Linked DNA regions of Drosophila melanogaster. The protein of the gene in region 1 interacts with the protein of each later gene in a pairwise test. Each region holds a gene or a part of one and is shown in the gene's direction. Other genes may lie near its edges.

What was found. The genes of interacting proteins can lie anywhere in the genome.
Region 2: the proteins of Septin1 (region 1) and Pih1D1 interact in a two-hybrid assay, tested with the Drosophila melanogaster proteins (one large-scale study listed by BioGRID).

What each region holds. Positions count from the first base shown.
Region 1 is NC_004354.4:21,356,686-21,363,068, forward strand, and holds Septin1 (septin 1), read left to right. Parts: upstream 1-1,600; 5' UTR 1,601-1,690; coding exon 1,691-1,708; intron 1,709-2,826; coding exon 2,827-3,019; intron 3,020-3,085; coding exon 3,086-3,344; intron 3,345-3,470; coding exon 3,471-3,836; intron 3,837-3,903; coding exon 3,904-4,153; 3' UTR 4,154-5,003; downstream 5,004-6,383. Other genes in the region: sol (small optic lobes), read left to right, coding at 22-288, 360-502, 572-749; waw (waclaw), read left to right, coding at 6,374-6,383. UniProt on the Drosophila melanogaster protein: Involved in cytokinesis. May be involved in p53-dependent apoptosis.
Region 2 is NT_033779.5:12,715,205-12,724,477, reverse strand, and holds the start of Pih1D1 (PIH1 domain containing 1), read left to right. Parts: upstream 1-2,634; 5' UTR 2,635-2,756; coding exon 2,757-2,825; intron 2,826-2,915; coding exon 2,916-3,027; intron 3,028-5,237; exon of another isoform or gene 5,238-5,433; intron 5,434-6,421; coding exon 6,422-8,584; intron 8,585-8,948; coding exon 8,949-9,273. Other genes in the region: MRP (Multidrug-Resistance like protein 1), read right to left, coding at 1-6, 135-272, 408-1,919, 1,994-2,047.

The sequences.
Region 1 (6,383 bases):
TAACAATTGCGTTCCATTTAGGTGCGAGGCTTTGTGGGATGCCACAAGATGCTGGAGCGGGACATTTACCTGCTTGTGTGTCTGGCCTTCAACCATTGGCACACGGGCATCGAGGATCCCCACCAGTATCCTCAATGCATCCTAGCGATACACAGCTCCAAGCGTCTGCTGGTGGAGCAGATAAGTCCCTCGCCGCATCTCCTGGCCGACGCTATCATTAGCCTGACCCTAACCAAGGGACAGCGGCACGAGGGGCGCGAGGGGATGACCGCCTACTATCTGACCAAGGCAAGTGATCCGGTTGCGAAGGGATCTAGGGATTCGGTGGCCTTACTAACTCGACCGCATTTCCTTTACAGGGCTGGGCGGGTCTGGTTGTGATGGTGGAAAATAGACATGAGAATAAGTGGATCCATGTGAAATGTGATTGCCAGGAGAGCTACAATGTGGTGTCGACACGCGGCGAACTCAAGACAGTGGACTCTGTGCCCCCGCTGCAGAGGTGGGCTCCCAATCGACCACCTAAAATATTCCCCCAACTAATTGCTTAACGTGTGCTTAACGCTTTCAGACAAGTAATCATCGTTCTCACCCAACTAGAGGGCAGTGGCGGCTTCAGCATCGCCCACCGGCTGACCCATCGTCTGGCGAATTCCCGCGGCCTGCACGACTGGGGGCCACCCGGCGCCACCCACTGCCCGCCCATCGAGAATGTCCATGGACTGCACGCTCCGCGGCTAATCACCTAGAATGGGATAGGGATAGGGATGGATGGCAGTGACGCAATTTCGATGCTACCCCGCGATATGTCGCTGTTCGAATCCTGATTTGCATGCGTCTCCTCTCAATTCTACCCGTCTTCTAGTCGATGTTCTGTTAACGAATCACACATTACAGCGAAAAACCCAAAGTTGAAACCAATCAGCATGCGAAACAATTCATATATATGTGTATAGAGCCGTGCAGATATGATATATGTATGTGTTTATGCACTAAGGCGTATCGGAAAGTGGGAGCAGATCCCCGGTGGGGATACGGCAGAGCCCAGAAGCCCCAGTCCGGAGTCCTAAGGCTAAGGCTCGGCACGATTCGCTTGAGATCCAATGATCTGTGTTTTGATTAGAGCGGCTATGATTGTGGATTATATAGATATGTATTGTGAATTTAAGTGCATCCAATATTAATATGTGTATTGTTTTAAAAATAAAGACTACAAGTTATAAAAGCCACCAATGTGTAAACAATTTCAAATGTGTACGCGCGAATTGGAAAACGATTCAATCAAAATATACCTTACGATACACAATAGATGGCGCCAGGAGATATTCGACATGGTATCTACATAAGATGTTATCTACTGTCAAAAACGCTACGAACTAAATCGTAAATATAGTCCGGGCTTAAATTTCCGATTAATAAAGTGAAATCATAAAAATATAGTCATGATATAATATAAACCATATAAAACCATAATAATTAAATAACTTATTAAATATGGTTACGTTCAACCAGATTTTCAAAAGAAATACCAGCTTGATCTTGTTCAGACGGTCGTCATTTTTGTTTTGCCGCCGAACTGGTCCCACTGGCAGCAGGATTTGCCAGTTGCGCGCTGCGGTCACACTAGTTGCCCTGCTATTTTGTTCGTCATTACGTTGATTTCTTCGTTCGTTTCGTGTTTTTTTTTAAAATGGCCGATACAAAGGGCGTGAGTAGCCGCTGTTCACTTGTCCAAATGCTAATGGCCAACGGCCAGTCCCCCAACGAACTCGATCCGCCGCCAACTGGGCGTGGCGTGCCATCCACTCCTGGTTGCCAGTGCATCAAATGCCGAATGCGGCGCTCCTGTTGATTTGTTTGCCGCTCATCTCGCCGCGCCAGTTCATCGGACACTCCTCCTGCACCGCCCTTTGTCCACTCGGTGGGAGCGGGCATTGCTGAGCGGGAGTGGAGAAGGAAGTGGAAGTAGAAGTCAAGTGATTCACAACATGCCGGTGGCGTCGGCGTTGTTCCTTTGTTCCCGGGACCTCTGCCGCCCTCGCGAAGCAACTTCGGCCGCCCGTGACCCACATGGCAGTGCATTCTGGTGCACGGAGAAATGAGTGCCGTGCCCATAGTTTGGGCGCCCAAGAGAAAACTGATCCGCGCGTGATGGGCATGCAAATCAAGCCAAGCCATCGCTTTCTAAGACCCAAAACCCTAACTACCAGACATTAGCTCAACCCAACTGAGTTGGGTTACGAGTTAATAAGGCATATGGAATACTTTCAATCACTTGTCCATTTTGGGTCATATCCTTGAACCCATTTCTTAACTCAACTCAACTTTCTCTTCATGAGATGCAAGTTTTTACTATTCCCAAAAGTGTTTTACCGAGAAACATAGTTCCAATTAATTGGTAGATAAATTGATCGACCGCAGATATATGTACAATATTACTATGATTTATCGTCAGTCTGCATTGCATGGTTTTATAGCTTAATCAGCATAGGCTGACCCACTTAATTATTCGCATATGTATTCATATGTATAGAACACAATGCACGGCACATTTAGTTAATATGCAATTCGTTAAGATTATAATTTCCATATGCAAAAAAGTCCACATTTGTTTCGCCTTTAAACGTTCCAGAAATAGTGCTGATATTGAACTGAGTAATTCTTGGTTTTGCAAGCAATGTTTGATTGTTTACCTGTTCTGAAATTAAAGGCATTACCTATCTAGTAGATTCTCAGAAAGTTTCTAATATTAATTATTTTTATTTATATATGAAGCCTAGGACTTTTGGTTCTCTATACTAATGTTATTCACCTATTCTCGTGCAGTTTTCCAGCATCGAGACGCCCGGCTATGTGGGCTTCGCCAACCTGCCCAACCAGGTGCATCGAAAGTCCGTGAAAAAGGGATTCGAGTTCACCCTAATGGTGGTGGGCGAGTCCGGACTGGGCAAGTCCACGCTGGTCAATAGTCTCTTTCTCACCGATCTCTATCCCGAGCGCATTATTCCGGACGCCATAGGTGGGCATAGTCTTTCGTCATCACTCGCTTTGATTACTCATCCAGGAAACCATTCCCCTCTTGCAGAGAAACAAAAGCAAACCGTAAAGCTGGAGGCATCGACGGTGGAGATCGAGGAGCGCGGCGTCAAGCTAAGATTGACGGTGGTGGACACACCCGGATTCGGCGATGCCATCGACAACTCCAACAGCTTTGGTGCCATACTCGAGTACATCGATGAGCAATACGAGCGCTTCCTGCGCGACGAGAGCGGCCTGAACAGACGCAACATTGTGGACAATCGCATTCACTGCTGTTTCTACTTTATATCGCCGTTCGGTCATGGGTGCGTTCCTTTTCCGTTTAACTTTTGAACATTTAATATTAAAAATAAGGAGTTCAAAGCTCAGTAGTGTTGCAAATTGTATAATAGAAAGTATAAACGAAGTATCACATCAATTTTTGTACCCAGCCTAAAACCCCTGGACGTAGAGTTCATGAAGAAGCTGCACTCTAAAGTTAACATTGTGCCCGTGATCGCAAAGGCCGATTGTCTCACAAAGAAGGAGATCCTGCGCCTGAAGTGCCGCATTATGCAGGAGATCGAGAGCCACGGCATCAAGATCTACCCACTGCCAGACTGTGATTCCGATGAGGACGAGGACTACAAGGAGCAGGTGAAGCAACTTAAGGAAGCTGTGCCTTTCGCCGTCTGCGGCGCCAACACACTGCTCGAGGTCAAGGGCAAGAAGGTGCGCGGTCGTCTGTATCCATGGGGCGTGGTCGAGGTAGAGAATCCCGATCACTGCGACTTCATCAAGCTGCGCACGATGCTCATGTAAGTGAAGCAAATATTCCAATATCTGATTGCTTATTAACTAACCACCTATCCCGCTGCCCCACAGCACCCACATGCAGGACCTGCAGGAGGTCACGCAGGAGGTGCACTACGAAAACTACCGCTCCGACCGCCTCGCCAAGGGCATCAAGGGCAAGGAGAACGGCGTGAAGGCCGAGCGGGACAGCAGCTCGCAGGTGGTGTCGAACAGCGTGCTCGGCGAGAAGGACCGCATCCTGCAAGAGAAGGAGGCCGAGCTGCGGCGCATGCAGGAGATGCTCGCCCAGATGCAGGCGCGCATGCAGGCCCAGCAGTGAGCAGGCGGGTATATCTTTTATATACGCGCTTGGCGGAGGCGGCAATCTCTAGTTATACACAAGTCGTATATATACACATATACAAAACATATATTTTGTACGCAGATTTTGGTTGCGATCGCGCTTTAATTCTACTCTCAATTGTGAAACGACGGGCGCTAAGTATTCTGTATTAATTTCGCATTCTCCATATATATATATCCGTAGTATCTAGATATACACACCACATACATTTATACACACATCTAACTTACACCTGCCGCGTATGCAAATGCCTGCAATGCAATTGCTTCATCAGAAAAACAAAGAACATAAGGAACACCAACCATCAGCGAACTCATATCACTTCTATCAAGCGAAACCACACACGAAAACAATTGTATTCCTATTATGTATTTAGACGCGATTAACAATGAATTATTATTGTAATACGCATCTAGGCTAAGCGAATCCAATCCGATTTATATTGTATGTTAATTCATTTTTGTCTGTTTACCTTACCCTTATCTGTGTTGTCTCAAAGCGAGCAATTTATTTAGGTTATACTATATGTTGCGTGTCAGCCTGCCCTTCCGATCCTTCTTGACCTCCATGGTCCGCTGTCCTGCAGTGCCGCCCGATTCCTAAGCACGATCTGATTGAATAAACAGTGATCCCTTCCTAGGCGGTCCCGGGAACCCATGGCCAGTTGCGGAAACTCGGTTTAGCAGGCTACTCGCTTAAAAGTGCACTCCTTTAACGGATGAAACAAAAACCAAAATGTGAAATCTCTTTTATTATGTATATGAAGACTTTTTTAACTCAATATAATCCTCTATGAATATATAAATATGCTTTTTATACAATTTGTAAGCCAGACCGTCTTATGCATTTTCTTGTAGTCTCCCATTTACTCAAAGTGTAAGGGGGCATACTATTTGTATTCTTGAGGAGATCACTAGCCGACTCCATCCAGTTACATATGTATGTACATATATGTACGTCTGTCCGTATGAGCGTCAATATCTCGGAAACTTTAACAAGCCGAATGTTCCAACTGCCAAGCCCATTTGTTTGTTTGATAAGTTTACTTTTGTTGTATTTCAATAACAATAGTTAGGCATTCATATCCTTTAGATACATTTGCAGTTGTGTTCGCCTGATGCCTGGCAAAATCTTAACCTTTTAGACACTTTTCACAACTGCTTGTCTTGCTTTTTTAGAGCGAAACCAAAATGCTCATTCAACGTATGCATTCGAAAACACAAGCAAGCACAAGAGTAACATTGCGAGATTTCACTATCAGCTTTTCCAATCACATTGGCATTATTGTTAGTAGAACAAAAGTTTTACTTGTACATATTTGTCAAGCGTTCGTCGAAAGAGCTTAAGGATCCTCACAACCTCAAGTATCCCTAGTTCAACCCATACTTGAGTATTGTCCGTGTGTATGGTCTCCTCAACACGTCTAGCATCAAGGTCTTGTGGAATCGGTACAGGGACACAGCCAGGATAATCCCTACCATCCCATCAATCATTCTCATGAAAAGAAGACTTATTTTTTCGAGACGAAAACGATCTCTATGTTGGATACATATTTTAGACGGAAGCAGTATCGGGTTTCAGATTGTAGAAGATGATGTGTGGGTAAGGTTAAAAAACCAAGAAAGAGATCGAAAAATAAGAGCAAAGTCAGTTGCAATCTGAGAATGGTTCGATCTCGACCTGAGTATGCTGAGCATGATTCGATCTTGGCTAGATTTTGAGATCGAAGTTCTTAAATCGAGATCGTTGAGAACGGCTTTTTCTCTGACTGTGCTGAGGTCAAACCCCCTTTTTCTGGAACCAGCAGTTCCTCCAGCTCCCTTGCTGGTCTATTACAATTACCATTTACCATTGTAAGCTGTTCCAAGAAAAGAACCTCGGCTTCTAGAAATCGAATCTCGCAGCGATGACTTCCTCACGAAAGCAGTTGAAAAAACAGAATATTTATGATATATAGCTCAATATTTCGGACTTTCTTACTTGTTTATTTATGAATATAAACCTATAGGCAATCTGAGATCTAGGAGCATTACGATCTTTCGCTTAAGAATATGTTTAATTTGCATCCGAGAACAAATTAGTAAAGGATTATTGAGTTGTAAATATTTGTTCATGTGTAAACATCGGTTTTCGTAGATTGCCAACAGATGGCGCTGTTTGTCACAAGATGGACAGTATTTTCCTGCTGTCTTACACATGATTGTCG
Region 2 (9,273 bases), on another chromosome or scaffold:
GGAAACCTTTGTTTGTTCGGACACGAAGTACATATATTTGCCAGATTAGTCCAATGCTACACGTCCAACTCATCTCAGTCAGCTGTAAAGAAATCTCGGAGGACTCAGAGCCCTGCAGGGCTGGCATATCTTACCAGGAACGGTGCACAGGACCACAAGAACGAAGTGCCCGCGTTCAAGTAGGCAGTGGAGCGCAGCGTCGCAATCTCCTTGTCACGGATGTCCAGCACTTGCTTCTCGAAACTCGGTTCCCAGGCGTACAATTTGAGCACCTATGTGGATTATAAAAACGGTTAGCATAGAATCGACATAGCATCGACTTCTGACAGCAGTCAGCATGACAGAGGATAATTGTTATACTTAAGAGATTAGGCTTCTACCTAATCCCTAGTCCTAGTGCCACTCACCTTAATGCCACTCAGTACTTCGTTCATCAACTTAACACGCTCATCTTTGTACTTCATCTGTCTGATCTGATAGGTCTTGATGCGACTGGCAATCACTCCGTTCACAGGGATCAGGATAATCATCACAGCCAAACCGGCCAGCACAGACGGTCCCAGTTGCTGCCAAAGGAAATACAGGGCTAGACCGATCTGCAGTGGCGCCGACCAGATCATGTTTAAGTAGGTTGTCAGTTCCATGAATCGCTGGGCATCCACGGCCATCAGGTTGACGATCTCGCCCACGGTGGACTCCTTTTTGGTGGAGTTCGAAATGCGCAGGGCCTTGCGGTAGATGGCATTGATCAAAGCTGTCCTGATTCGCAGGCCCACAATGAACATTCGGTGGAAATATTGCCCCAGAATAAAGGTCTGTGCAGCGGCCAAAACGAAAAGCAGGACAGCGTATAAGATACCCTTCCATTCGGGCTCGGCATCTTGGGCCTCGACGAAGCTGATGATCAAACTCAGGACTTGGGGCTGGGCAAATGTCAGGGTGTCGGTGAACAGCTTCATTAGGGCGCCGAACAGAAAGACGCCTCCGAAGGACTTGTAAATTGGCGGCATAATACTGGCCATGCCCTTCTTGCGGCCATTCTTCTCACCGTGGGGATTCTCAAAGGTCACGTTGCCATTGCTAAACTGCGCCTTGGGTTCTACGCGCGCCTTGTTCTTGTAGTTCTTGCGCACGTTCTGGTTCCAGTGGTGGGCGAAGATGGGCATGACCTCGGAGCAGCTGTCCTGCGGCCTCAGGTCCCACAGATCCTTCTCCTCCAGCGGGTTGCGATAGCCCTTGAGGGCCATTTTGTCGAACCACTGATAGGTGATGCGGGAAAGGAAACTGGCTGACAGTTCGGGAATCTCGTTCTCACCCCTCTGGTACTTGGTTTGTCTGGGCATTCCGTCCGCGAAGCAGTTCAGGATCAGCATAATGCTGGTGAAGGTGAAGAAGATAAAGAAGCTAACGAACTGATACTCCTCCCAGGAAAAGTCCTGCTCGGATGGCTGTTGCGAATTCAGAATCTTCTGGCGCTCCGCGTCCAGTCGAACTTCAGTGCGGCAGCGGGGAATCGACAGCACAGTGAGCAGGAACCAGAAGATGAACTGACATCCCGTGGTCTGCACGCCATACTTTCGATTCAGCGGGATGAATATGAAGAGCAACAGGAAGGTGGCGAACTTGATGATGGGACCCCAAACATCCAGGTCGTAGAGCGGCAGCTCAGAGTCGCCGCCCTTCTTGACCAGCGCCATAATTAGGTCCAGGGCAGTGATTACCAGCAGACCCAGATTCACCAGAGCTTTGCTCACGTTCAGCTTGTTCCACGGTATATTCCTGTCCAAACTCGCCTTCAGGTAGTAAAAGTCAAAGATCACGAACGCCCAGTAGAAGGCGCAGGGTGTCCAGACCAGCGCCGTTTGCTCAAAGCAGGGCGTAAAGTCCGGATCGTTGGTATACCATGTCTCTGTTGCGTTCTGTTCGTTGGACACACGGAAACCATACATTTACACTATGCATTCGGATTGAACACCACTGCTGATGCACTCACCCAGAACGTGGATCCGCAGAATCTGTCCATCGGCGAACTAGTGTCATCCGCCATGGTTACTCGACTGCTCGGCAACCTCCTCCACGTGCAATTGGGCTATATGCGTATGCTATATCGGGCGATGTGGTAACTGTAAAGCGGCAAGGAAATAAACGGATCTATATTTTCGGGCCAACAGCTGTTCCTTCCCAAGCCGCACAACTACAACAACCGCTAATCGTGACAGTGGGAAGTTGATTGCTAGTATTTTTCTGGTATTTCGCGGGCACAGTGGGTGTCGGATGGAAAATGAGTGTATAATTCTGCACTGCGTGTTATTTTAATTGTTTATATTGATTTAAGTGAAACTTGTAATTTTTGTACATAAATTATTAAAATACATTTGCTTGGAAAACTTAGTAGAAGCAAGTAGAAATCAATTGCATTTGCAACAGCAAAAATACAAATGAATTTCTTAAATTTGGATTAAGCTTTTAAAGTTTCATATAGAAATTCATAGCAATTATTCTCGAAAATTCTTGTCATTTACTTTTTATTAATGAGCACCCTGTACAGGGAAAACGCCTATCTAGTATTTTTAGCCTATCGCATGGCATTAAATGTTTTTCCACCGGCGTTCACACTGTCACATTAGTTTTCATTTCAATCGAGTTGACAGCTCCATTCTGGCAAATAAAATTTGCGTTTTTCGCTCGTCGCTCAGCGCAAAAATAGCATTTGCATTGGATTAACTCGTAACTGGCAATTGAAATCGTGCAGCAAAATGTCGCGTCGTTCCAATTTCATTGAGGGCAACGACAATTTTCGCGACCAGAACCTGCGCTTTGTGCGGGTAAGCAAAACTTGAGAAATTCGATGTGAGGAACTATCTGCGCCACTAAAGATGAACTTGTTTTTTTTTTTTTTCATTTTCTAAATGCAGAACGAGTTTGAGGACAATATTAACCAGTACTTTGGAGGCGCCGATCCGGAGGGCAGCGGCCCGCAGCAGAAACCGCCGCCGCGAGACTCGCTGATTGTCCAGCCGACCGCAGGTAAGTGGCGTCCATTGCAACAGCCGGAGCTTCACATGGCACAGCAATCGCTGCCGGTGGCGCGGAGAATCTAACCGGAGATTACAGCCAGCTAGTAGTAGGCATGACTCTGGGTTTATGGTCTACTTAGCACTTGTGTGTGCACAGTAATCTCTGCGAGCGCGGAACCATGTCAACCTGATAAACATCTCACGTCGACGTCGATTGCGCGTAATCGCTCGGGGTGGTACAGTGAACCCGCGATAAGGCGAACAAACGCACGCGAATGGAACACGTCATAGGACAGAAAAACCCATCCTAACGAATCTTCGACAAGACTTTAAAAACCAATTACGAATATTGAAAACATATCCGAATTACTTGTATTTAAAATTGAATCAATTGCTCTAAATTTTTTAATTAATTCCGTAAGTTAACTATAGTTTGTGCACACTTTTTGTATATTCAAATTTCCAATCTTTTAATGGTTATTAATTAGTATTTTGCACTTAACTATTGGATAATTCGTCAAAACAAAGGCAAAAAATCAATTATCCAAACAAATCAGTTTAATTCCTATGCACACTATTATTTGACAAACTATCTATCGTATTGAAACAAAAAGAGGGTTGAGCGGGTAGTTAGTACGAAGTTTTGTAATCTAGCCGTCGTTATTGTGCGCTACGGCAGTTAAGTGTTTACATGTCCAGGGCCACTTGGAGGAAGGTCTAATCGCGCCCACTTGAAACGATAGTTTATAGTCCAGCGAGATTGTACAATGCCAATGACAAATGAGCGACTAAAACGTGTTTCCCCGCCTCGAAGAAGAACTAATTTACACAGAGATACACACAACTAAAAAGAAGGAATGAGAAACTTTAAGCGAATCTTGAACGGAGCTCATAAAAGGTATTGGGCTAGTCACATTTTATGGGCGCCAAAAACTTGTTTGCCCCGTACACGCATGTGTTTTAAGCCATTTGACTTTAGATAAAATTCTAACACATCTGAAACGAGTATTTTCAGTTCGATATAATTAACGGCGAAACCTGTTCCCGCAGCGATTATATAAGCACAAAACAATCGGCAGAAAAAACCCCCTTACAAAACCTAATATTTCAATTGTACGAAATGTGTGTGTTTTGCCTTTACACCCAAGTGAAATTTCTCTTTAAAAACAAAAACGTCGACTCACGATGAGATGCTAAGCAAAATGGCATGGAGATCTCTTGGCTGCACCATAAAATCAAGGAGAAAACCTGACAATTTTCTCAGCAAAAAACGCCACTCTCTTCACAACCTGACTGACACACACGGTTTGTTTGTTCTGGATCAGATCATGCCAGCCGGCACAAATTGTTTACACCGCCAAAGAAGAGTGATTTATTTACAGAATATCAACGACACTCGACACTTGATGACTTTTATTAATAGGGAAAAAGCTGAGATAAGGCTGACTGGCTGCATTTAGCCAAGTGTGCAAACTCTGGAGAAAACAACTTCCACATAGCGAGAATGATTATACGAGCAGCTCCTTATCGGGGACCCCACAGCTGAACCTTATCGTGTGTGCTGCCTGTTGCTGTCCCCCTACTAGACTCTTCCATTGTGTTTGTCGTTGCTCCAGTTATGAATTGCACATCGTAAACCCTATATTGCTCCTAATCGCACACTTGTTTGCTCCACTTGCTGCTGATTCTGAGTCCTTGGAGCTTGATTACCATCGGACTGGGCGAGAAGCTGTCGAACCCACAGATCGTAGGCCATCTTTCAAGGCCTGTGACGTCAGTGGAACCCACGAGGCAATTAACTTCAAATTTGTTCGTACGAACAGCAGTACGACAACCTTGCGCACCACAATTTTTACACTTTTTCTGTTATCAATTAAATAATCGAGCTGCGAGCATGACAAAACACTTAACCATATCAAACTACTTTGAATGTGAATCATCGATTTCTCGTCAGTTCTTTTTTTTTTTTTTCGTATTTCTTTCGTTTGCTGAGAAATGTTTGCGCGGGATATTCTGGAGCCTTTCGGAAATTTCACAATTTCAGGCAAAGAATGTGGACACACAGAGATAGATACACAACACATAGATACGAACGCACACTGGCACACTTGTTCCGCTTTGGCGGAATCCAACAACCACATATCAACAAGGGTATCAAAAATGGACGGCGGTGGTTGTTGTTGGCGGTATCGATGCGACTGAAATGTCACTTATAATTACCTCTACGTAGAAAAAAACTCGCTGCGATTCAAACGAATCGGTTGTGGGGGATCGGAGTGAATAGAATCGAATCGAAACAAAACGAGCCGTAGCGGTTGAGGTCGGATCGCTATTTGGATTTGGATGGAGGGCAGCGTCGGCGGAGCACTTCAAAATCGACGGACAACCGGCTCGTTACGAGCAAAAAGGCAAACTGAATTCGAAGCGAGCGCTGCGAACAAACTTATTTGTTTTCCGCGCTTTCCGTGCTCAAAAAAAAAACAACAAAAATGAGATAATAGCGCCACCTCGGAGAGCGTTTAACTTGGCTCTTTTTGTGGCGCTGACTGCCTGGTGGCCGCCCGATCAATTAAAACCCCCTGCCATCAAAGCACCCGACTCTCCAATAATGCCAAGTTTGTCCAGAATAAAACCCAGCTGAAAGATACCGACTCTCTTTCCTGATTTTAAGTGCCGATTTAAACATATTTTCCTGCTCTGGTGAAATTATTCTGAACCGAAATGGACACACGACGCGACTCTTAAACGTTTTGTTGTCGCAAGAGCAACAAAAGTGGGCCGAAATGATAACGATATCAACAGTAGTCATACAATTAAGAGCATTTAATGGGTGTTTGGTTGCGAATTCTTCACGATTTTGGTATAAGCATGACCATACCTATTGATTATCAGTTTATTGTGTGTTTGATGCCATAAATGTATAATTACTGAGTAGTTTCTTAACAACTACAACTACAGGATTTGCTGCTATGCATTTCGAAAGTACACACCAATAGAATAGAATTCTGTGATAGAATTTCTAATCTAATCAATTTAGATGTTTAATTTAAAATATGAGATAGTGGCAGTGCTTAGTGTTTATAGATTGACAAAAAATCAAACATCAAACTTAGTCAGCATTTTGATAACGACTGAAAAGGCAATCAAGTAGTAATGCAATTGAAATTATCATTTTTTTTTGTGTTGTACAATTTGTTAAAGCAATTAAAGGGTGGGAAGAAATGCAAAACAAAGCAAATCTATTATAGATTTAAACTAAAATTTGTATGCATATTTTCAGTGAGCATTGTCGTCATGAGTAGATTAGATTGGAATTGGTTTGCTAAACGTGACCACATAGCTCTAACCTAAAACGTGTCTGCTTTTTTAAATTTTAAATTTCATATGTGGTACCATGAAAATAGCCAACAGCGAGCTGGACAATCGGCGCCAATTTCTCCGTGACCTGGGCGCCAGTCGGGTGTTGGCCAACGCCTTGGCGCAGCGCACCTTCAATGTGCCCAAGTTCAACCTGCGCCATTTCCAGCGCCAGAGGTTCCGCCTCAGCGTCGAGCTGGGCGACAGTCACCAGGATGTGGTGGACAAGGAGGTGCTCCAAGCCATCGAGGAAGCGGTGGCTAGCCACGACGACGTCGAGTCGCGGCCACGCACTCCGTCGCCGCCGCGGAACATTGATTGGCACAGCGCCAGGATGAATAACTCACCGGCTAATAAGGATCGATCGCGTTCTAGGAATCGTCAGAGAGAGGAAAATTTCCCAAACAACAATCGCGGAGTTGTGGAACAACGGGAGCCAATCAATAGGAATTGTGGACCCGTAAATCGCAATAATCCTGGCATGAATCCTGCTGAGTTCAATCGCAATCGTTATGCAAATGCGCAGGACTTTAATCGAAATAATCGAAATATGGACAGAAGTGAATTCAATCAAAATAATCGCAATTTCAACCGAAATGAGGGTTCACGTCCCAATCCACAGGATTTCAATCGTCCCAATAGAAATCAAAATCCACAGGATTTCAATCGTCCCAATAGAAACCAAAATCCACAGGATTTCAATCGTTCCAATAGAAATCAAAATCCACAGGATTTCAATCGATCTAATAGAAATCAAAACCCCCAGGATTTCAATCGTCCCAATAGAAATCAAAATCCACAGGATTTCAATCGCAATAATCGTAATGCCTATCCGCATGAATTCAATCGTAATATCCGAAATGATAACGAGCAGGAATTTAATCACAATCGTAATGCAGTCAATGATGAATTCAATCGCAATACTCGTAATGTTAACAACCAAGCATTCCCTCAAGGACATAACCATAACAATCGTAATGCGAATGCACAATTCAATCGCAAAACTTTTGACGAGAACCCAAACTTTAATAACCAACGTTTTCAAGGACCAAATCACCAGATCAACTATCGTGTTCAGATGCCAAACAATGATCATTCCCAAGTAAACAACAATCGCAGGCCTGGTAATCAGAACTTCGTTTCGAATCAGCAACCCAACTTGGATCGTAATGCTATAAGCGATGACGGCATTCAGCTGCCAAGAGATCGATTCCGTTCGCCTGAAGCGCATCCAAAACAACCACCATATCCACGTAATGTGAACGCTGACCAGGTTGGAAACCGTGGACCCCAAAAGAGGCACAATTATCAGCGTATTGTGAATGACAATCAAATAATACTACGTCGCACCGACTGGACTGACGAAGAAGAGGATCTAGATCTAGAACACCATGATATAGACGACTATATACCCGATGAACGCGAATTTCTTGAAGATGATGCCGATTTCATCGATGACACAAATGATACACTTATGAATGATGATCAGTATGAGGGTTACCACTCAAGGGGTAATCAACACTACATCCAAGATCATAACATCGATGATCGTAATTCATATGGACGCAATCGCAACGATCGTAACTTTGAGGGCATTAGGCGCCAGTTTGATCCAGAACTCGATCGACGCAACTTAAACGACAACTTCAATCAGCGAAACAACTATTCGCGTGGCGGTGACACCGTACGCTTTCCCCGAAGGGAGGATGACACATTCCAAGGCTCAAATAACCCTAATTTTCCACCGAACTATCCAAACACTATTCTCCGTGGATCGGGTTCTGGAAATCGTTGCCGCGATACGAGCTCTAACAGACCCATGGGTCCCAATCAAAACAGACGAAGCCGCCTACCAAATGCTGATGAAGCTGCTCCAAGTGTGGCCCATTCTGGGGGTCCCATACAAGATGGAACTAATTTAAATCGTAGAATCAATAAAAATTTAAATCCTGGCAAGGGGCCAGATCGCATCAATGCTGGGACTCCTAATCAACCCAGATCCAAGTCAACCACATCTCAAACTCGAAATCTAAATCCTGATATTCCAAACAAAATGGTCAAGAAGTCGGCGGTTCCACAAGACAATCGTGCACCGCAACCAAACAAACCTATGAACACCAATCCTGGTGCATCCAAACCTGGTCAGTCGGTAATCAAACCGAAACTACAGGCAACCAAGATCAACGCGGCCATGGCGAAACCGCTCGCTGGTAAGGGATAAACTTTTGAATTCTTAATAAATTAAAAATTTGATACAAACCAATTACAAGCTAGCTTATAGAGCTTTTGTATTGGTTTTAAAGTGTATAAATGATTTTAAAGCCACATTTGGAATGCAAACCCGTTAAAAATATATCCCTTTTTTTTCAAATGCCTTAAATTAAGGATCGTACTCTAGCTACAAGAATTTTTGATAAACCAGTTTTGAAACACATTTTCTTGGTTTCAAACCCGATTCGAAGTTATCAACTGCATTTCATACTTCAAGAAGCTAGTCATAAATATGCTTTTGTTTGGTTTGCATTCCGAAATTATCGGGTATACCCAAAAAACAATACATGTTCAATTTTGCAGGGATAAAAAGAAAAGCTGAGACTACTCCAAAGTTAGGGGGGGCTACCAAAGCCGGGCCAAAACGCCAGAGAGCGGATCGAACAGATCGCAGCTTCATTATAGGCGGCATTAGTCTGCCCTATATCAACAGCAATACCAAGAAGCTGCCACAGCCGGAGGAGCAGTCATACGCGGTGACCTTCTTCGAGCAAACGCCCAACTACAACACCAACATATATGCCATCGACGATGGCCATGTTGATGAAGACGAAGGTGATGGGGACGACGAGGAAATGTCCGATGCCGAATCTCTGGACTCGAACCGATCCGGTGTTCTGTCCAAGTG